Linked DNA regions of Yarrowia lipolytica. The protein of the gene in region 2 purifies or fractionates together with the protein of the main gene of each other region. This does not show direct contact. Links are inferred from orthologs where the notes say so. Each region holds a gene or a part of one and is shown on either strand. Other genes may lie near its edges. The genes, in order: YALI1_D33229g, YALI1_D20768g, YALI1_C00422g and YALI1_B02091g.

What was found.
Region 1: the proteins of YALI1_D20768g (region 2) and YALI1_D33229g purify together in Saccharomyces cerevisiae (affinity purification with mass spectrometry; 5 studies listed by BioGRID). This does not show direct contact. The link is inferred for Yarrowia lipolytica from reciprocal best matches to the Saccharomyces cerevisiae genes CKA1 and POB3.
Region 3: the proteins of YALI1_D20768g (region 2) and YALI1_C00422g purify together in Saccharomyces cerevisiae (affinity purification with mass spectrometry; 7 studies listed by BioGRID). This does not show direct contact. The link is inferred for Yarrowia lipolytica from reciprocal best matches to the Saccharomyces cerevisiae genes CKA1 and CHD1.
Region 4: the proteins of YALI1_D20768g (region 2) and YALI1_B02091g purify together in Saccharomyces cerevisiae (affinity purification with mass spectrometry; 3 studies listed by BioGRID, with this or other methods). This does not show direct contact. The link is inferred for Yarrowia lipolytica from reciprocal best matches to the Saccharomyces cerevisiae genes CKA1 and SPT6.

Annotation. Positions count from the first base shown.
Region 1 is NC_090773.1:3,320,992-3,325,037, reverse strand, and holds YALI1_D33229g (uncharacterized protein), read right to left. Parts: upstream 2,160-4,046; coding exon 522-2,159; downstream 1-521. Other genes in the region: YALI1_D33207g (uncharacterized protein), read right to left, coding at 3,635-4,046. UniProt on the Saccharomyces cerevisiae protein: Component of the FACT complex, a general chromatin factor that acts to reorganize nucleosomes. The FACT complex is involved in multiple processes that require DNA as a template such as mRNA elongation, DNA replication and DNA repair.
Region 2 is NC_090773.1:2,075,207-2,078,346, reverse strand, and holds YALI1_D20768g (uncharacterized protein), read right to left. Parts: upstream 1,557-3,140; coding exon 537-1,556; downstream 1-536. Other genes in the region: YALI1_D20784g (uncharacterized protein), read left to right, coding at 1-91; YALI1_D20758g (uncharacterized protein), read left to right, coding at 1,791-1,851, 2,482-3,140.
Region 3 is NC_090772.1:37,604-44,083, forward strand, and holds YALI1_C00422g (uncharacterized protein), read right to left. Parts: upstream 4,813-6,480; coding exon 4,810-4,812; intron 4,679-4,809; coding exon 524-4,678; downstream 1-523. Other genes in the region: YALI1_C00368g (uncharacterized protein), read left to right, coding at 1-449. UniProt on the Saccharomyces cerevisiae protein: ATP-dependent chromatin-remodeling factor which functions as substrate recognition component of the transcription regulatory histone acetylation (HAT) complexes SAGA and SLIK. It recognizes H3K4me.
Region 4 is NC_090771.1:207,331-214,438, reverse strand, and holds YALI1_B02091g (uncharacterized protein), read right to left. Parts: upstream 5,280-7,108; coding exon 5,100-5,279; intron 4,574-5,099; coding exon 533-4,573; downstream 1-532. Other genes in the region: YALI1_B02149g (uncharacterized protein), read left to right, coding at 1-97; YALI1_B02082g (uncharacterized protein), read left to right, coding at 6,038-6,147, 6,194-6,389; YALI1_B02073g (uncharacterized protein), read left to right, coding at 6,846-7,024, 7,069-7,108. UniProt on the Saccharomyces cerevisiae protein: Histone H3-H4 chaperone that plays a role in maintenance of chromatin structure during RNA polymerase II transcription elongation thereby repressing transcription initiation from cryptic promoters.

The DNA.
Region 1 (4,046 bases), about 1.2 Mb from region 2:
AACAGATTTTGTTGACATTTGTTGAAAGGAATTCCCGCTGTGGGTCACTTCTCGGTGTCACGGGACCAATGAAATCGCAAGACTTGTGTGAATTGGTTTAAAAGCATCAACTAATCAACTAATATTCATCTTCAAGATATTGGCAGTACAGATATTTGAGATATCCACATTTCAACGCGAAATACGAGTGCTGATTTTGTTGACTTTGGAGTGGGCCTCAAGTAATAGTTACTTCAGAGCTCCAGAAATGCACAGTACACTAACAATGGTCCAATTCAAACAAAATATCTGTCACTCAAGACTCCAGAGCAGCTCAGATAATACATTCTTACCAACTGAATGTGTCCCATTCAAATACATCCACCTAATCAACATTAATTCATATATCTACCAGTAGCAAATTCCTTGTGAGACTTTTGCACTCTTGAATCTGTCTCGAATCAGATACGAGTTTGCTTCGTCCGGAGCTGCTATTGTTACCCAACAAGCAATTTCCCGCGACGCGCGAAGCCGCGCCGGAATCACTCGTCATCCTCCTCTCCCGAACTGCTCTCGGCATTCGAGTCAAACTCCTCCGCCACCTCACTATCACTCTCGGCATGAAAGTCCTCATCAGGACTCTCGTCATCCTCATCAGCCGAGCCTCGAAACTCTCCTCCATCATCAGAGTCATCGTCCACCTCAGCCAGAGTGGCAGCCAGCAGCGCCTTCTCCTCAGCAAGATCATTCTTAAGACGAATGCCCTTGGACTTGATGAACGCCTCGAGACCCTCCTGCTCTTCCTTGGAGATGTTGGAGAACTGGTACTCACCCTGGGCGTTTCGCAGCTTGAGAGTCATGTCAAACGTTCGAGAGGTGGTTACCGAAGAACCCACTCGAGACAGAGTGATATCTTGAATCTCGGCAAAGGGAATGAAAACGGGCTTGGAAAGAAACAGGAAATTTCGTTCCAGGGGGTATAGATGGCCCTCAGACGCCTTGAGCGAACAGGAGACACCAGCATGGCCATGCACGGTCTTGAACGAGCCTGGCACGGTCAGTTTTCGGCCAGTGAGACCGCGGAAAATAGATCCAACCACCTGGTGAGCAGACTCGTCGTACGACTGCTTGAGACCCTTGTCGGCGTACTTTTCGGCAAACTCGGCGTCGTCGACATTGAGCTCGACTTTGATTTCGGCCTCACGCAGGAATTGCATCACCAGAAACGGGTACCGAGTCTGGCCCTGTCTGAGAGGAGGATCCAGCTGCACCACGAGAATGTTGTGCAGATCGTCGGGCTTGGGCAGCACAATGAGCCGCTGCACGTGCTTGTACTGCACCATGTAATCGTATGTTTTTCCTCGAAGTCGCATGAAGTTGGCGTACATGTCGATATCGTATCGTCCTCGGGGGATGACCAGGTAGATCTCCGACAAAGACACCACAGCCGTACCTGCCACGGCTCCAATGTCGGCCTTTTCCTTGAGGGTGTCGTAGAAGATCTGGGCGGTGGACTGGACCTCCTCTTCTGATTCGTCGTCGGCGTCGGCGTCGTCGTCTCCTTCCTTGCCTTCTTCTCCCTCCTTCTTCTCCGTCTTCTGCTTCTTCTTGGGGTTCTCATCACCTTCCACAGAAGTTACTCCGGGCACGTAGAATCGCATTTCGACGAGCTCGTCGCCTGCCCGTCCATCGGCGGGCTGCTGGAACTCCAGAGCAACCTCATTTTTGCCCACCAGGTTGGAGTTGGCCACTTCGGCGTAGGGGATCTCGAATGCGGGCTTGTTGGCGACGGAAAAAACCAGCTCGGATCGCTCAAAGTCCGTCTTGCCCCAGTTCCAACCCTTGACGCTGTGCTCGCGCTGCTCCACTGAAATGCCATAGTTGCGCTTCATCACGTTCTTCAGCTCCTCCAGGTTGTCCTGTTCAAACCCGTCAAAGTTGGCGGCCCCGCGGTTTTTCGTCTGGATCTTCATCTCGAATCCCCGAGAGCCCCGACTCCAAAACGCCGCCAGCAGCTCCTCCTTTCCAAGTAGAAACGGCTCGTCCTTCTTGGTCTCCTTCGATCCGCCCATTGACGTCTTCTGCACTGCCTTCCAGCCCAGGCCCGTCTCAACCATCCGCAGACGGCCGTGCGCCTTGCTCTGATTGAGATAGATGCCGTCGAATTCAGTCGTAGACATCGTGTTTTTTTTTGCGTACTGTGCTGTAAATGTGTGAACGATGACGATGGCGCTTCGACGTGCCGGTAATGTATGTATGGTGATTTGGACTCTGCCAGAAAGTTAAACGCGTGGTCACGTGACCTAAGAAGAGGAGGGAGGAGGATGGGGGAGAGGACAAGAGAAGCGGGGTATCGCTGTAGCCCCGAGGGTCCACCAAATTCCAAGTTTGGAGGCGGATTGAGGGGTAATAGGCGTTAGGGAGTCACGTGAAAGTATCATTTTGACGATATCTCCGCCCCAAGCCATTCTACACTGGGTCCTCATTATTGTTACTTCCATCTACACTCCTTGCTAGTTATGTACTAAATATGCACTTAATGAAAAACCCTAACCCTGAATATCCCAACCTCCCCAAGTGAAGCAGGGAAGTGGAAGCGTCAATTGGTTCACCAGACGCAAACTAGCGACGCAAACAGTGAGTGTGACAAGGCGAGGAGGGGAGAGGAGGGGAGAAGGGGAAAGGAGGGGAGAAGGGGAGAAGACGAGGAGATGTGATATAGAAGTCACGCAGAAGGAACGGTATCTCTGTGTATTGAGAGAGAGTGAACTGAAGTCAAGATGAAAAGACAGACTGAATACGACTGATGACGTGTGACTGAGTAAGTGTGAATGAGTATGTGTACATCTCTAAGTTGAGTACGTGTGCATTATCAACAGTTGCTTTCCACTTGCACATCTGGGCCGATTAATCGACTCTGACATGGCTGTACCGTGGTAGGGCATCAGAACAGACAGAACAGACAGAACAGACAGAACTTAACTTGAGCCACGTATCTCGTGGGCAGAATTCAGACTCAGTTTGATCCTGATGTTCCTCTTCTGCTGTTCCTCTTCTGCTGGCTGCCTCACTATTCTGAACTGCTCCGGTCTGTCCAAAGCTCCATAGTCGAGATGGACCTGATTCTACTAGACTGACGGGAAACTGGAAAGGACCATATAGCTGGAGCTGGCAGAATGGGCCATTCCGTCGTTAACGAAGCGTAACCGGACCAAATCTGGAACAGTCCTCCAGTATTCCACCCCTCAGTGCTCATTTCCGTACTAACGCAGTGTCCCTCTACCAGCGGTGGATGCAGATCCCCCCATCGCAACGAATCATCGCTGCGGCTTTTACTGGCATCTTGGCCTACGGCGGTATGAAGATCACCGACTATTTCAACGAGCAGGGCGACATTGAGCGGGAGGCCCAGGCTCTGGTGCTCAAGGAGCATCAGAAGATCAACCAGGCTGTTGCTAACGACCTCCGGAAGGATGAGTAACAGACCGGGAGCTTGTCACTATAGCAGCGGTACCTTCCAAAATCGCATTGTATATAGGAATTTATTGTTTTTTTTGAGTGCCAAAGCCTCTGAGCATTCGTTTCCAGTCGTAATTCATTAATATATATATCTTTGACAGTGGCGGGTGGAATTCACCGCGGAAACCCGCATCAGTTACATGAACCGCCCAAGGAAGGTACCTCTGGCAGCTCTAGACAAGAGACCGCCGCTGACCTGGCCAACAATGTTATTGGCCTTGCCAAACTTGTCACATCGAGAGTAGGCCATGGCGTTAGTGACGGTCAGAGACACAGCAATAAAGACCAGAATCAGAGACAGAAACTGGAACTTGAGCAGCGCCAGAACCGCCAAACACACCCACAAGACAGGGGCGCCATACAGCATCATCCAAAAGACCTTGGAGTCAATGGGATTTATGTACCGCTGGGGATCGGCCGTCTCGAACACCCACACGGACTCGCCCGTCTCCGACGCCTCGTTCCACCATCTCAGGCCCACCATGAGCCGTCCGGCAATGTTTTTGACGTTCCAAAAGTCGGCTGCCAGAAGCAGAACAACCAACACA
Region 2 (3,140 bases):
AGTCATTGAGCATCTTGCTCATCATCCTGCTTCTCCCCAGCTAGAAGCCACCCTGCGCTCAGCTCTGAGATGGGCTAGAGCATACTCTTAGTTCACGATGTTGACCTCTCGCTCAACTGTGAAACTTCACATTGTCTTCAGACGTCGTCAACCACCTATTTACCCTCGGCCATAATGACTGCAAAGTTGTCAACAAACTGTCATGACGATAAGTTTCTGCTCAGCCTCTTTACAGTCGCCTACATTGTCTAAGAATATTCCTTTTATTAAAGTACCGATATACACCCTTCAATGACTGTCTCTTTGAGCATGAGTTGAATTAATGTTTGGTCCAGTGGTGACAGAAATGTTGGAGTCACTGGAAGTCACTGAGTCATAGCTTAGCAAGCGCGTGTAGTGCAAGTTAGCTCATTAATACACGCGCTCAAGACTGGTTGGCGAATCGATGGGGGGGCCCATGTGTCTCACCTTTGCTCGCTCGCGGCCGTTGGTAGACGACCCAATAGAGCTGCTCGTCATCTATTCCTGCTCGCCATCTATTCCTGCTCGCCCTCTTCTCTAACTCTGACGGGCTTGAAGTAATCGTGCGCCATGGCCTCCTTGGCAGTCAGTCTCTCCTGATGGTCGTATCTCAGCAGGTTATCCAGTAAATGTATCGCTTCTTGGCTAATGTAGGCCTCGTTGTCCACGTTGACAAACTTGCTCCAGGGTCGGGCGGGGTAGGTTCCAATGTCGTCGTACTCGGCTCCGAGCTCAATATTGTACTTTTCCAGATAGTCCCAGAGCTTTTCTGTTCCCAGCACCCGTGCGATTTTCACCAGCTGGTCCGTGTTGGAGGTACCATGGAAGAAAGGCTCCTTTTTGAAAATCATGGAGGCAAACATGGCGCCGTAGGACCACAGGTCCAAGGAGTAGTCGTAGAGCTGGAAGTCGACCAGCAGCTCGGGTCCCTTGAAGTACCGCGAGGCCACTCTGACGTTGTATTCGGTGCCCGCGTGGTAGAACTCGGCCAAGCCCCAGTCAATGAGGCGCAGCTTGCGCTTCTCGTGGTCAATCATGACATTGTGTGGCTTCACGTCCCGGTGCATGATGCCCTTGGAGTGGCTGTAGTCGATGGCCTTTAGCAGCTCGTACATGTAGTAGCGAATGTCATAGTCTGTGAATTTGGGGTACAGCGCCCGGAAGTCGAGGTTCTGCACGTGTTCGAAGATGAAGGCCGGCATTTTGCTCTGCGGGTCTCGCACCGTTTCCAGCAGCGAGATGATGTTGGGTCCTCCTGCGAGATTTTGCAGAATCTTGACTTCTCGCTTGATCTTCTTGCGCTTGACGGGCTTGAGCGCCTTGATCACCACCAGCTCTTTGGACACAATGTTGATGCCCTCAAACACCTCCGAGTATTTGCCTCGGCCGATTTTCTTGATGATTTCGTAGTTGTCCTGCTGACCCCATTTGAGCGCCAGCTTGTCGTAGTCCCAGTACGATGGCGGCATCAGGTTGTTCACGTCCGCGTACACTCGGGCCACCGACTCGGCGGCGATATCGGAATCCACGTCCATGATGAGTCTTTAGACGAATGAGGAATGAGGAAAATGTGTCGATGGAGACAGAGACAATTCACAGTCGTTGATGGGTGGGTGGGTGTATGAGGATGGGTATTGGGAGGAGTGTGGCAAACCTTATTTCACATAGACTCTTCTGTGAGTAAGAAAAATGGAGATTGTCACCAGGAACAGAGGCAGTCCGACCTGAACAAGACCCTCGAAAACGACATACAGTGTGCCACTTTGATCATGGACGCCTTGGTCAACCAATACATGGCCGCTACGGGCAACGCCGCAGGTATCGCTGATTGTGAGTATCCAGCTTGGAGTTTACGGTGGAGGGAGTGTGCGACAAAGGTGTGATGGACTATAGATCCACGACCCGACGGAGATAGAGACTGGATAGTGGTAGGAGGGAAGAAGGAATGGGAATCGACTTTTGGACACGTGTTTATAATTCTGGATGTTGTTGCCGCGGCTTTTTCGCCGCAGATGTGGCGGTGGCGGTGGTGGTAGTGGTGGTGGTGTGTTCTCTGCCTTATGATCCATCTAGGTCTAGACCAGAAGATGATCGAGATTTGATAGAGATGGGCTAAGTCGATGAAGGATGAACCGTTGACAGGGAAACATGTGCTTTGGTTGCTTTTCTTCTTTCTTTATGGTCGGGAAGTTGTGGTTCAGCTGTTATCTGAGTCATGCGGGGTAAGATATGATCTGAGGTGATCTAGACCGGTCCATGGATTGACTGGGTTGGTTTGGGTGTCTGTTTGGTGTCTGTTCGGTGCCTGTTTGGTGTCTGTTCGGCGCCTGTTTGGGTGCCTTCCAGTGGCAAGTGGTAATATCGTCTCTCTGGTGCCCTACCCTCGTATCTTGATCATCATCTCCTCCCACTATGCCCCGTCTCTTCCTTCCCTACAACTACCGCTTCATGCTAACACAGTGATCACCACGGACCAGGCTAAACTGGTCGATCTCGTGCAGCTGCTCGGAGAATACCTCGTTGACGAGTCTGCCAAAACCCGACAGACCGCCATCCAATGCATCTCTGACGTGCTCAAAGATCTGCCTACTGACAAACTGACCAAGCAGCAACTCACTGTCATCTGCGAGTTTCTCAGCGAACGTCTGGCCGACGAGCCCGTCACGGGCCAGGTTCTCGACGGCATGAACGCCGTGGTCACCATGTCGGCCATCAGCTCTCTGAGCGTCAAAAAAATCGTGGACAGCCTCGTCGGCTACTACCTGCCCTCTTCACATGTGCAGGTGGTCAGATACAAGGCCTACGTTCTACTCCGATACTTGACTGAGAATAAGAGCCAGTCGCTCAAAAGCACTGCTTCAGCCCAGGAAGGCTTCATCAAGTGTTTCCTGACCTGCACCAACGGCGAGAAGGACCCCCGAAACCTGCTGGAGTCCTTTGCTATCAACGAGTGGATCAGCAACAACCTGACTGTGCCTGAAAACGACGTGGAGCCGCAGTTTGACGCCACCTTCTGCTACTTCCCCATCACCTTTAGACCCCCCAAAAATGACCCCTACAAGATCACAGCTGATCAGCTAAAGGTGGCGCTCAGAACCGCTCTGGCGGCCGGAAAACAG
Region 3 (6,480 bases), on a different chromosome or scaffold from region 2:
TCTACTGCCAACATTACATGACGCCTGATCTGCTTGAACAGCATGAAAACGAACTCAAGGAGATTGAAGAGAGCGGCTACGAGTACAAACAACACTTTCTGGACACATGTTGCAAGGGAAATCTTCTCGACTACGGCTCAGACCACACAGATCTAAACTACAAGTTTTCGCTGAGGAAATTCACAGACCACATCAACCCAACCACAAAGACAAGCCATCCAGCGCCCACCTCACACTCTCTCCAGAGCACGCTGAGATTCTCGTTACTGGAGACCCAAGGTAACATTAAGAGAAGACGATTCTTCGACCATAATATCAGCACTCCTGTGACGATCTTCCATCGAGAAAACGCTCTAAGCAACGACACTGATCCAAGTTTGCCATTGCCAGTACGATCCGTGGCCTCCTTACCTGAGAAGCAACCACCACTACCGGCTTACGAGAGCTAGTCACACCGATATAAAATACAAATATTGATTACTTTAATATGATTACATGATGCGTTACAGTAGACTTTGGAAGTCTACTTTTTGGCGGCTCCGCTGACCTTCTCGTACATTGCCCGGATACGGTTACTCTTGACTCTGCTGGGCCAGAAGAAGGATGCAAACGCCCACAGATGCTTGAGAGTCTTCTCCCGCTTCTTATCAGAGACCTTCTGGGCTTCGGAGTCGATGTGGTGGCCCACCGTGGACAGCTCCTTCTTGAGGACCTCCAGCCAGGCCTTCTTGTCCAAACCATCCTCGCCCTTCTTGAGGCGCTTCAGAGACGCCTTGACAGGTTTGAGAGTCGTTCGACACGCCTCATCGTCCATTGACTCATAGTCTGAGTAGTCGTCAGCCGTGGGAGGTCCAGGAATCTTCTTGGGGACAGGAGTCTCTCGCTTGGGAGTCTCTCGCTTGATGGAAGGATCTCGCTTGATGGAAGGATCTCGCTTGATAGCAGCCTTCTTGGGAGGTTGAGGAGTGGACACTGCGGGAGATTCGCTCTTTCGAACACGCTCCTTGATGGCAATTCGCTTCTTGTTGCCATCGTTGTTGGTGTGAACAGCCTCGCCCTTGAGAACAGAGATGAGGTAGTCAACTCGACGACCGAGGTGAACGGCACCAGGAACCTTGGCTCCAGTCTTCTCTCGAGCCTCCTTCTTGTCAACTCGGTGCTCCTCAAGGTAGAACTTGTCTCCAAATTTGAGACGTGGATCGTCTCGAATGAAGGTCCAGGCTCCATAACCGTACTTCTTGGTACCAATGAGCAGACGAGCGTCACAGTCCTCGTCCCACTCACAGTTCCAGCCATGCACACTCTTGAGAGGTTCGTCGAACTTGAAAGTGTCCGTCACCTGGCTTCGAATGAGCTTCATGTCGGCTGGTCGTGAGATGAGCAGTTCGGCGTTGATGTTCTTGACGCCCTGGAAGGTGAAAAGAACGGCCTTTTTGGTGTTGGAGGGCTTCTTCTCGTCCAGGGCAGTATCTCCACCGCCTCGAGAAGCAGCAGCCTTTGCCGCAGCAGCGGCAGCAGCTTCAGCCTCTTCCTTGATCTGCTTTTCTCGCTCCTCAACCTCCCGCTTACTCTGGTCAATGAGGTCAAAGTAGGCTTCCTTGATGAGATCGGACTTTCGCTGGGGCAAAGTACCGTCGTTGAAAAGCTTATCCCACATGACGGAGACGTCGCCGTAACGTAGAATTGTTCGGTACAAACCTCTGATCTCCCGCTCGTTGAGGAACTTGTCCTCCTTCTTGCGCTTGACCACACGCCGCCCTCCACTCTCCTCATTTTCGTCAGAGGACTCAAGAGCAGCAGTGGAGGCACGCTGAGAGGCAGCTCGACGTCGATTCATTAGATCCATCTGTTCCTTGACGTACTCCTCGTCCTTTCGACGCAGATCGTCAGCCTTGATCTTGGCGAGCTCGTTGGCAGGGATAATGTCGTCCCAATCAACATCGGCCTTGTAGTCAGTGACCTCAAACTGCTTAAGGAACTCCTCGCCGCCAAGATGACTCTCGCCGAGATCAGGAGTGGTGATATGGTCCTCTGCGTGGTTCAGAACATCGTCTAGGTTCATGTTCTCCAGCTTGTCCTGGTTATCGTTGGCCTTGAACATATTTCCGGCGCCAAACTTTAGGATCTCAGACAGCTCCGAGGTCGACGGCTCAGTCTTTTTGTTGTTGGAAGAACCCTTGTCGGTGATACCAAGGGAGATGATGGCGTACTCCAAAATCATCTTCTTTCTGGCACGCTCGAGAACCTGCTCTTCAACAGTGTCCTTGGACACAAATCGATAGACCATCACGTGGTTCTTCTGACCGATTCGATGGGCTCGAGCCATGGCCTGCAGATCAGCCTGGGGGTTCCAATCCGAATCAAAAATGATGACTGTATCGGCCGTCATCAGGTTGATACCCAAACCTCCAGCTCGAGTGGACAGCAAGAAGACGAAGTCGTTACTGTCAGGGGCATTGTAATGGTCAATTGCAATTCGACGGGTGGCAGAGGGGACAGTACCATCCAGACGCTGGAATTGGTAGCCCTTAATCTGCAAATAATCGCCTAAAATGTCGAGCATTCGAACCATCTGGGAGAAAATCAGAACTCGATGACCGTCCTTTTTCAGCTGAGTGAGCAGCTTATCGAGAAGAACCATCTTACCAGAGGTCATAATCATGCCTCGGAAGACGTTTTCTCGAGAAGCGCCGTTCTCAGCCAAGCTGAGGAACTTGCTCTCGGCAGTGGGGAACAGGTACGGATGGTTGGAGGCCTTCTTGAGCTCCGTCATGATGTTGAGAAGTGACATCTGGTGACCTCCGGTGGCTCCGGCGTTCAGAGCCGTGTAGTTTTTGGAAATGATGTTCTTGTAGTAATCCTGCTGCATGTCGGACATTTCGACTCGCAGAATTCGCTCTGTCTTAGAGGGCAGTGATTTCTCGACATCCTTCTTGAGTCGACGCAAGATGAAAGGCTGCAGGCGCTTATGAAGCTCACGAATGTAACCCTCCTGCTCTTCGTCAGGGTTCTCAAAATTAATTTCCAGATCGATGGTGAGCTTGCCAGGCATCAGGAAGTCAACCAGAGCAGCCAGCTCCTTGATGTTGTTCTGCAGCGGAGTACCGGTGATGAGCAGTCTATTTGCGACTCGGAACTCCTTGAGAGACTCGTAGAGAGCTGACTCGGCGTTCTTGAGACGGTGGGCCTCGTCAACAGCCAGGTACTGCCACTTGATGGACCCCAGCTCGGCTCGGTCCTTAAGAATGTACTCGTAGGTGGTCAGAAGAACATTGAACTTGGGTTTCTTGTTACCAGTTTTGTTGTAGAATTCGTGGTCACGAAGTGCTTTTCGAGACTCGGTGTTGCCGAGATATGCGAGGTAGTTGATACCAGGCGCCCAGAACTCAAAGGTCTCCTGCCAGGCAGGCACAGTAGACAGAGGAACTACCACCAGGTGGGGCCCGTGCTGCTTTCGAGCGTACACAAGCCATGAGAGAAATGCAACGGTTTGGACGGTTTTACCGAGTCCCATTTCGTCGGCAAGAATACCGTTTTCGTTTCGAGACCACAAGAAGGCCATCCAGTTGATTCCGGTCAGCTGGAAGTCTCGAAGTTCACCACCCTTGATGAAGCCAGGCTGCTCGGTAAGCTTCTCAAACGGAGGACGTGAGTTGGCAGGGTAGACTGCGCTCTGGCTGGGATTGATTTTCGAGTTGAGCCGGTCCTGGAACCGCTCGACTTCGTCCTCGGCAATCTTGGCGATCTCCTCGGCATCTTCCCAGGTGGCGTCCGAGTAGTTGAGTCGCTTCCACTTTACGAGATACTGCAACTGAGTGGCTCCATTGTCGACAGCGACACGATCTGATGCAATGATTCGCTCAACAAGTTTATACTCAGCGTACTCCTCCTGTTCGCGCTCGCGTCGCAGCTCCATGGCCTCGATATCCTCGGGGGATGCATCTCGCTGCAGCTCTGCATACTCCAGCACGTTGAGCTTGATGTAATTATCGACTCGCTTGATTCCCTTGAAGCCGGCCAGCGAATCGTACGTCTCCCACGTGTTGTGCAGATGCGAGTAGTTCTGCCACTTGATGTAGAACTCGAGGTGTCGCTTGGCGTCAAACAGATCTGTAATCTGCGAGTCGTCGTCGCCTTCTTTTCGACGATGGTCCAGCACCATATCCACCGCCTCGGTGGACGTGGTGGTGGCGTAGTCGTATGTGTCATTAGCAGCGGCATCACCGTATGCGTCCTGCAGAGCGTCCTCATCCTCGTCCTCCAGAAATTCGTCATCGTCATGGTCAATATTGTAGTTGACCACCTTGGCGTTACGAGACGAGAACCGCAGGTTCTGGTAGTCGGGGGACGGCTCTCGGGCAGACGACTTGTTTCGTCCACCCTTGCGTCTGGAAGAAGACGATTTCTTAGCCTTCTTGGTCGGTGCGTAGTCGTCCTCCTCAGAGTCCTCATCGTCCTCCTCTGATTCCTCATCATCCAGAGACATTTCGCTCTCGTCGGAGAGGACGATTCCGTTGCTCTTTTTGGCCTGCTTCTTTCTCTGGGGACGTTTGGGCACGTCCTCTTCCGACGACGAATAGTCGACGTATCTCTTGCGGGCCTCGTTGGCCGTAGTCACCGCTGATCTCCGGGACCGTCGCAGCCCATAGAGCTCGGGGTCGTCGTTGAAGTCGGGGTTCTAGGGTTAGTAACAGCAACATGGTGACTTTTGTGGGTAGATAGAGCATCGTAGCCTGTCTCTACCATCTCTTTGTGACAGTTATCACCCACTTATTCTCCACCATGCCATCTTCAGTCCAGTGTACTCACCATTGTTACCACAACCTGCTAATGGACGTATATCAAACGCTGTGGGCGGCGGGGAAAATGCAGAGGGGTTGATGACCTTCTGTCTGTGTTTCTGGCGTCGTGGTTGTGCTTTTGTGTGAGGAAAAGAGACGTGATCAAGTCTCTGGTTCCTTCTCCGTTGTGCTGTTGCGCGGTTCTGTGAGCGATGGATGAAGAGAAAATGTCGGCAAAAAAAAAGAGCGTGACGACAGCAACACAGTAATGTGTATATGCAGAAACAGTGGGGATGGTACGGGTTATTGTTTGTGGGAGAGTGGAATGAATTGCGCTATGAAAGATACAGAGTAAGGACATGAAAAGTTACGGCGGAGACACAATCACAACATCGTCATGGTTGTCCCCGAGATTCTACGTAAGGAGTCACCACAGCGGTAGACAGAGCTTCACGCCCTGTGTTTACAAAGCTTCACACCAAGAGTTCTTCCGCCAGGTGACGCGTCTGGCGATGTCAGTCACGGAGGTGAGCAGCAGAGTACATGAGCACGCGTGTGGGCACCATGGCTGCGATGATCCGGGCGACCCAGCCCTTGTGCGACGCCCTAGAGCACCTCTGTAGGTCCTAGACGGTGCCACGAGCTCTCTGACGCCGTAGCCACACTCCAAAAACGCCCCGATACACGTCCAAAGCATATTTGGATATGATACCACAGGGCCTAGGAGATGGCGGGGACACAGACAGGACGTGACCAGGACAGCGCCGTAGTGTAGTGTCCAGCGGGCGTGGCACAGGCGCAGACCAATGCCACAGTGTGTCTGCGGTGCGTGTTCATCTCGTCGACGAGACGCGTGACTTTGAAGCGACAGTGGTTGCCAAACAAGAGGTCAGGGGCGGGTACTTTGTCTGGCTAGAGGAGGAGGAGTTTGGGCGATAGCCACATTTGTTAGCCTGAGGTGCCCTAACCGCATTTTAGGGTTCTGGCCAATGGGAGAAGTTCTGTACAAGAATCTTTCAAACCCTTTTCCCCGGCAAGATGCCACTTACCCGGCCAGAGTTTAATATGTACGCGGCGACAAGGATATGGAGGGTTAGGGTGTTCCTGATTGGGTAGACACTGACTTTGAGGTCGTCCAGATGCTGTAACATGACTGCAACTATGTACTTGTGCACTTGTACGGTATTGTTCTTATAAAGTAGTAGATCTCCACATGTTGATTTAAGCTATATTATTTGATATCTCTTCCTCCCAGCTCTCTACAGTATGTGCAGTTTTCCTACAGTAAATTCCCAACCTTTTAGCTACAGTGCAGCTTTCATAATCTGATGTGAATAGTAGGAGAGAATGTGGCTCATATAGATCACGACATAGGAGAAGACACTGTGACAGAATGGGTACAATTTCTGTTGGTACTGTTATCACGTGCGTACCTGACACATAGTTTGGTTGTACCTGGTGCCTGGTGAATGTGTCATCACGAAATTCTCAACTGTCCGTAGTATGGCATGGCTCTTTCACGCCACCAATGGCAAGCCGGAAAGGAGAAGTGAGTGTTTAGGAGGAATTGAGGACAGCAGAGAGGGTATCGCGTGATACAATGTTTGTCGTACCTGTTTAAACAGATAAATGTGGGCTTTTATCTCTTCAGACCCCCTCCCACGCTTTCAAACACGTGTCTCCTCTTCTCTAATTAAAG
Region 4 (7,108 bases), on a different chromosome or scaffold from region 2:
CAGTTACTACGACGTGAAGGATCCCGTGTTTGATTTGATCATGGAGGGGGCCAAGGAGTGGGAACTGCGACAGAAACAAACTGGAACCTCGACGTAGGAGAGGTTTCGTTTGTTACTAGATTATCTGACTTTGACATGTTCGGCAAAAGTGTCGCAATCGCTTATCATATTCGCCTGTTGCACCCGACAAGCGATCTGCCATCACCAATCTTACTCGGGCTTTAGTCCTGTTTGGACACCAGAGCTAATATCAACTTCAAGCACGCAGTGGAGTTTCCGAGATATAACGGACGACGTTCGCTCGAAAGATAGGACGAAGCGACCAGCTACAGAGGTCCGATGATTCAGCTGCAGGGCGATATAGGATGAAGAGATACTGTAGACGTCTCTGTAGTACAGTACTAGAATGTGAAAGTGTGCGCGTACACGAACGAAACACTTGGAGGAATGGATAGCCCAAGACACATCCAACAGCGTCGTTACGACTCGCTCTCGGATTACTTTCATTACAACAATCAATTAATATACACAACTATCTTCTCTGAGTCTTGCTCTTGAACAAGGTCTTGAACCCGTTGCACAGCTTCATGACATCAGGGTACTTTTCTCCACCCAACTGGTAGCCTCCAGGAATCACCTTGACGGGCCAGTCAAGCATGGGACTCTTCTGGTCCGTCTTAACCAGCAAATGGAAGTAGCCAGCCTTTTTGGACGACAGCACAAACCGGTACACGGCTCGTTTCGAACCACCTCGTAGATACGAGTCCATACTCTGCTCCGTCTCGGCAATGGAGTCGGCCGAGTACTTGTCCGAATGGCACAGCTCGTCTACCTTTCGAGCCATGGACTTGACATGCATGGCGATGAGCTCATCGAGATCGGAGTACTTGGAGGTGCCGACCATGAGAGTCTTTCCAAGCGCATACTCGTTTTCCTTGCCGAGCTCCACGACGTCAATGTGCTGGTAAATGCCATCACCGACCTTCCACGTGACGGCAATGTGATCTGTGCCACGTGACGAGGGTCTGATGACAAGCTCTCCACGGGGAAGTGTAGAGAGGAACTTTTCGGCATCGGAGCCAGAGAAGAGCTTGAACAGAGGATGCTTGATGACTCGAGTCTTTCGCTGCTCCACCTCACGACGCACCTCCTGGGCGGACTTGTCGGCGGCCTCCGCTTCAAAGTCCCATTGATCTCGCGGTCTCTTCACCTGACGGGCTCGTTTTTGCGCGTCAGAAATGTCTCGGTGGAGACACGACAACTCTGCGGAGAAATTCGAGTATGACACCTCCATGACGACCGCTCGAATCGTCTGTTGATGGTGAAACAGCGCCGACGGATGCACTCCTCGCTGGTCGGTGATCCGGTCCTGGGTCACGTTGCCCTGAATTCCGCACGAAAGACGCACCGCAAGGTATCTGTCGGAGATTCTTCTAATCTGCACCGCCACGACGGAACCGGGATGCAGCGATTTTTCCGTCTCTCCGGTGAGCATAGTGAAGACCTCAAGGTCGGTCAGCACGTGTAACGGCTCCCGCAGCTCCTCGTAGTGGTTGATGAGCTCTCTTCGGATCATCTCCAGAGTGTACCGCTTCTTCTTGCCGAGTTTCTGCTCGAGTTCCTCGGCGTAGCCCTCCAGAATGAGCTCGTTGAGCTTCTCGGCGCCCTCCTTCATCAGTTGAGCAATAACTCCTCCCTCGGACTCAAACTCCAGAAGATCTTCCTCGTCGAGCTCAAGGGCATCAGCAGCCATCTTTTTCGCCAGTTCGTAATCCTCAATATGGATTCGAGTGGCGTCCAGAAGTTCCGTCTCCTCGTGACGAACCGATCGCTTGTCGTAAGGAAGACGCAGGAACGAAGCCACGTTCATAAAGACATTCTTTCCACACAGCTTCTCGGTGATGAGATCCAGACGAGTGCCGAGATAGCCACGAGACTGGATTTTGTGAGTCAGACCAGACGCCTTTCGGGGGCCCAAACCAGCAATGTAGGGCAGCATTCGAGCCACGTAAGCGTCTCTAATGGCCTCATTGATGTCGACTCCCACGAGATTGACGTAATCGACAAAAGTCGAGTCCACGGCCTCGTAGAAGCGGTCCTCAGAAATCAACGACTGGAAATCCACCATGGGAATCGCCTTGATTTCCTTGCCCAGCGAAAGATACTCCAGCAGGGGGCTCTGAACATACCGCGCAAGAGCCACACAGTACCGTTCCAGAGGAGGCGAGTCTGCAAACTCCACCAGGGCACCGGCGGAGTTTCTGAACAGGCAGGCAACCTCATCCTGCACCCATCGCACCTCCAGAGGCTCTCCCTCGGCCTCCAGACCCTGCGTTCGAACAACCTCTTCAATCACGCTCTTGAGTCTGTGGGATTGGACTGTCTGGCCCGAGAAGGCGATAAGATCGGGAGTTCGACGCTTGACCATCTCGGACAGCGCGTTGGTGAACTCCTGGGTTTGTGGAGCTCCGAGCTTGGCCCGTTCAGCCACTCGGCCTTCCTCATCGACAAAAACGCCAACCACGGCGTCTCGTCGAAAATCAGCCTGGCCGGCAGAAAGCGCCAACACTCTTGGAACTGTGCCCTTTTCGTAGTTTCGCGGCTTGAAAGGAGCCTGGTTCAACTTTCTGCCAAACATGCGACGCAGCTCAAAGAAGAGTTGCCGCTCACAGTCGTTCCTCAACTCCTCCTTGATAGATCGAGTGACCATGGGAACGAGAGTCTTCATTGCAATTCGAACCACCGCCCGTCGCTGGGTGTTCCATTGACTGGCAATGTCAGACACGCCATCGCTCTGCAGCTTACTCAGCAGAAGATCGATGAACTTGGTTTTGAAATCAGGGTACGACACTCGGACATTCACCAGGCCCTTAGCCTCGGCCTGCAGCATCTGAAGGTACAGTTTGGGCGATTTTCTGAGCTCCTCAAATGACAGATTTCGCGAGTACTTGAACTCGTAAGCTGGGTGTGCTTCGTCAATCTGACTGGAACCCGCCTCGGTTGCATACACGTCAATCTTGGCGAGCTGCGCAAACTGCTGACGCACATACCGCCGCACCCGCGGGTCAAATGCCAGCTCCATGGCAAACATCTGAGTCGCGCTCTCGAGCGCCGATGCGGCGTCACTCAGGACCAGGCTGGAATCGTTCAAATAGTCGGTGGCAAGGTCAGCTGGAGCTCGCGCGTTATCCTCTGTGTAGTTGATACGCGTGGAGGTTTCCAGGTTCTCTGCAAACTCGTCGGAGGAGATACCAAACTGTCTGACCAGACCATACAGCTTGCTGGCTCGAATTCGGTCGTATCTGGCGTACCGAGAATGTCGCTTCGACGACCCGGACTGCAAATCGCCGAGCTCGCCGGAAAACCGAAATTGCACATACTCAATGGCGTCTTGAGTGTCCTGCAACGAGGCAGAGTTGGCGAAATCGTTGATGAATGAATGGTTTCCAGTCTTGGACACTCCCGCTTGGGTTCGCAACCGCTCCAGCTGCTGCTGTTTCTCCACAATGCCGTGGTAATCGAGATCAAGCTGCACAATCATCCACAGGTCGTCCAGAGACAGCAACTCGACGGTTGTGTACTCAATCTCCTTGGTTTCTTCGGTGGTGGATGCCACAGGTGCCTCCAACGTCGGCTCATACTCGTCATCCTCAACCTTGGCCTTGAACTTTTCATGTTTCGAAACATGGGTAAGAAAGTCTCGACGATGATGCCAGATGAACGGAACCTCGAGATTCTCCTTGGCAATGAACTCCAGTACCTTGGAGACCGCAGTCTCGTACTCGGAATCGAGGTGGGGCGGAACATGCTCCTGTTTCATGGTCTTCAAACGGCTAGCCACCCACTCGCACTCCTTGGAAAAGTCCTCGTCCGACAGATCGTACTTGTCGATCGACTGACGCAGAAGCTGGTACCGCTCGGGCTCGTCACGTGCCCGGATGTCATTATCCTCGTCGGTCAGGAGTCGTTCTCTCAGCTCAGACGGCTCGAACACGTCTCTGAGCTCTGGACCAGCACGTCCCTCGTCCTCGTACTCCTCCTGGGCACGCTCGCGGTCCTCCTCCGCGTCCAGGGCCCATGCGTACTCCTCTCCGTCGCCAAACACTTCGTAGATCTCGTTGAGCTTGTCATCATCGATGCCCACGTCCTTGGAAAGGAACGCGGCCGGAGCGCCAGTGGCACGTGACTCTCGCTGCGACTCACGTCCCCGTGTTGGTGCGTCATCCTCACTGAACTCGTCGTCTTCAATGAAGTCGTCGAACTCGTTGCGCTGTTCGACCGGCGCGGGCTGTTCTTCCTCGTCGGAGAACATGTCGGCGAGTCCCTTCTGGCGGTCGGAGGAGTCGTCATCGCCTGCTCGCTTGAGACGCTTAAAGTGCCGTTCTCGGGGCGCGCCCGTGTTCTCCATGAGGAGGTCCAAATCATCTTCGTCGAGATGGTCGTTCTCGGCGGGCGTGGGGGGTTTGTCGTCGGTGTCTTCGGGGATCACTCGTCGTCGTTTCTTGAGTTTTCGTCTCGGTTTGTCCACTTCTTCTTCCTCTTCGTCGTCGTCCACAATGAAGCCTTGTCGGACCTGGGTTAGTATTATGTTGGAGCAGCTCCAGTAGTGCGCAGTGTCAGGTTAGACAGTCGAGTGCCGAGACTGGATAGAACGGCGAGTATCTCGTCGTCAGCGGGATCTGGCACTGCCAGTAATTCTAAGACGACGATTGACTGAGTCTTGGATCTGTTTACTGTGCTAGGATTGTTCCTGATGGCAACCGCGATTGTTCAGATGAAAACTGTGATTTCTCAGATGAAAACTGTGGTTGGTGATCCGCTGAACTGAACCAACCAGACAGAACATTGCCAGCATCAAATGAGACCCGCGACTCTATGGAGATGAGACCCGCGGCACTACGGAGATGAGCGAAACGAATCTCCAGTCTTTTAATGGAATCGAGATTCGCTTAGTTCATCTCAAATCCACTCGAGATTCGATTCCTCGTCTCTCCAAATCGAGATTCGATTCCTCATCTCTCCAAATCCACTCGAGATTCGCTTCGCTCATCTCGTCATCTCGTCATCTCGTCATCTCGTCATATCGACACTTCACTCACCCTAGCAATCTCCTCCTCATCATCATCATCCTCCTCCTCACTACTATCATCCATCTCTTCATTGTCATTGTCGTTGTCTTCGCCGTTTTCGTGACGATCGTCATCACGGACGTCGATTTCGTCCTCGTCCATCTTGACCTTGACCGAATCAACGTCGCTGGCACTAGCGGGGGACGACATGGTGGGTTGGTGTTGACGTGTTGTGGTGGTGCTGACAACAATATGTTTTTCAGGGTTAGGTCACGTGGAACAGAGGTGGGAATAACGAGCAAAAAAAATAAAAAAAAATTCGTCTGAATAAAAACAATAAAAATAAAAACCCAAAAGAAAACACCACAAAACCATGGTCGATCAAGACGACGGAAAAATAAACAGAAAAAACTATACAGAAAACCAGGAAAATCACGTGATCACAGAAACACACGCCTCCTAATTCTGTCTATTTTCCCCATTTTTATTTACTGGATAGACTCTCCGAGTCGGAGGAAGTTTAAAATTTCCAGTGGGAGTTTTGAACCGAGTTTTCAAATAGAATTAAATAGAATTAAATAGAATTAAATTAAATTAAATTAAATAAATTAAATAAAATTAAATAAAATAAAATAAAATAAATAAATAAATAAAATAAAAAAATAAATTCGTTTTAGAAAACTGGCGAAAAATATAAAAAAATAAAAAAAAAAACAAAGAAAACAACACTTCCAGGTCAGAGACTTGTACGAGTCCATACCGTGTGGAATAATTTGGTTCAAACTACAACTACGATGAAATGAGATAGCCGGTGAAAAAGCGAAGTTCTACCCTGATTTTTTAATCAATTCTAATGACCCTGAGTACGATCCACACCACGACAGTGTCTCAACCTCCAAACGACACTCACACAAGCAGACGAGGCGATTATTGAGCTGGCGAGCTTCTAATCGGATTTGTCTCCATCAATGTACAGCTTCTTCAAGTTTCAGTCCCTCATAGAGCCAGGGCTCGTCAGAAAAGGCACCTGGAGAGAACATCATATACTCCCCAGAGTATCTTCCCCGACTGAGGGATGGTTGACAGTCGTTTGACCTGAGAATCTCTCTACGGAGCCCATCCAGTCGGACTCCAGAAAGCTGTTTGTCTCCGGGCCGAATGCGACAACCCCGGGGCTTAAGAGTTTGTGAGCCGGTATGCCTTCAAGGCCTCAAAAAACAAAACGAATGCGCTCCAGGCATGACCGCTTCATCTACAAGCTCCATGTCGGGTTTTTGGACTCAGTTCAAGGTCTCTTTTGGGGCCTCTTTCTTTGAATAGGCACTCAATGAAACCTTTCGTGATCCTCCTACACCAAAGGATGAGGACCCCACAGAACTCCTCAAAGTGTCTCAATCCGACCAGAGCTGTTATCCCGCGTGTCGAGTCTCCCCAGCAACTAGTCTCGCTATCTGATGTTATTCTTGAACGCACACTATTGGCATCTTTGCCAATTCACCGCCATCCCTGAGTGCTACTGTACAGTACCCGGGTATTCATTTCAACTCCAAGGACAACGTGGAAAAGAACTACGTGAGAATATTATCGAAAGCTGAAAGCTCTTCGTCAGTATGCTCTCTTTGGCCTCAAACGCCACCCCACGGCCTGGATGCTGAACATGTCCTTGTCCAGGACAGTTGGCGTGACCAGTTTATGAAGAACGACTCACGTTGGATCACGTTGGATCACGTTGGATCACGTTGGATCACGTTGAAATGACGTTGGAATCACGTTGGAATGACGTTGGAATCACGGTTGAAACGAACCTGTCTCAAGGCCAACCAGTTTCTAACTAAGAACTACAGAGGTGACAATCCGCTACACATGCTGCAGCTGAGTTGCCGTCTTCACCTGATGGCTCCTAAGTCGAGATTTGCCCGATACAAAGGAATCGCCAATGAAGAAGTACCTCAACTGTCCTAGGCCATTTGCCGGAAGATCGTGTCGCCCATGCCACTAGACGTACTCGTGGTCTGCTCACGCTAAAGGAACACGCCGCC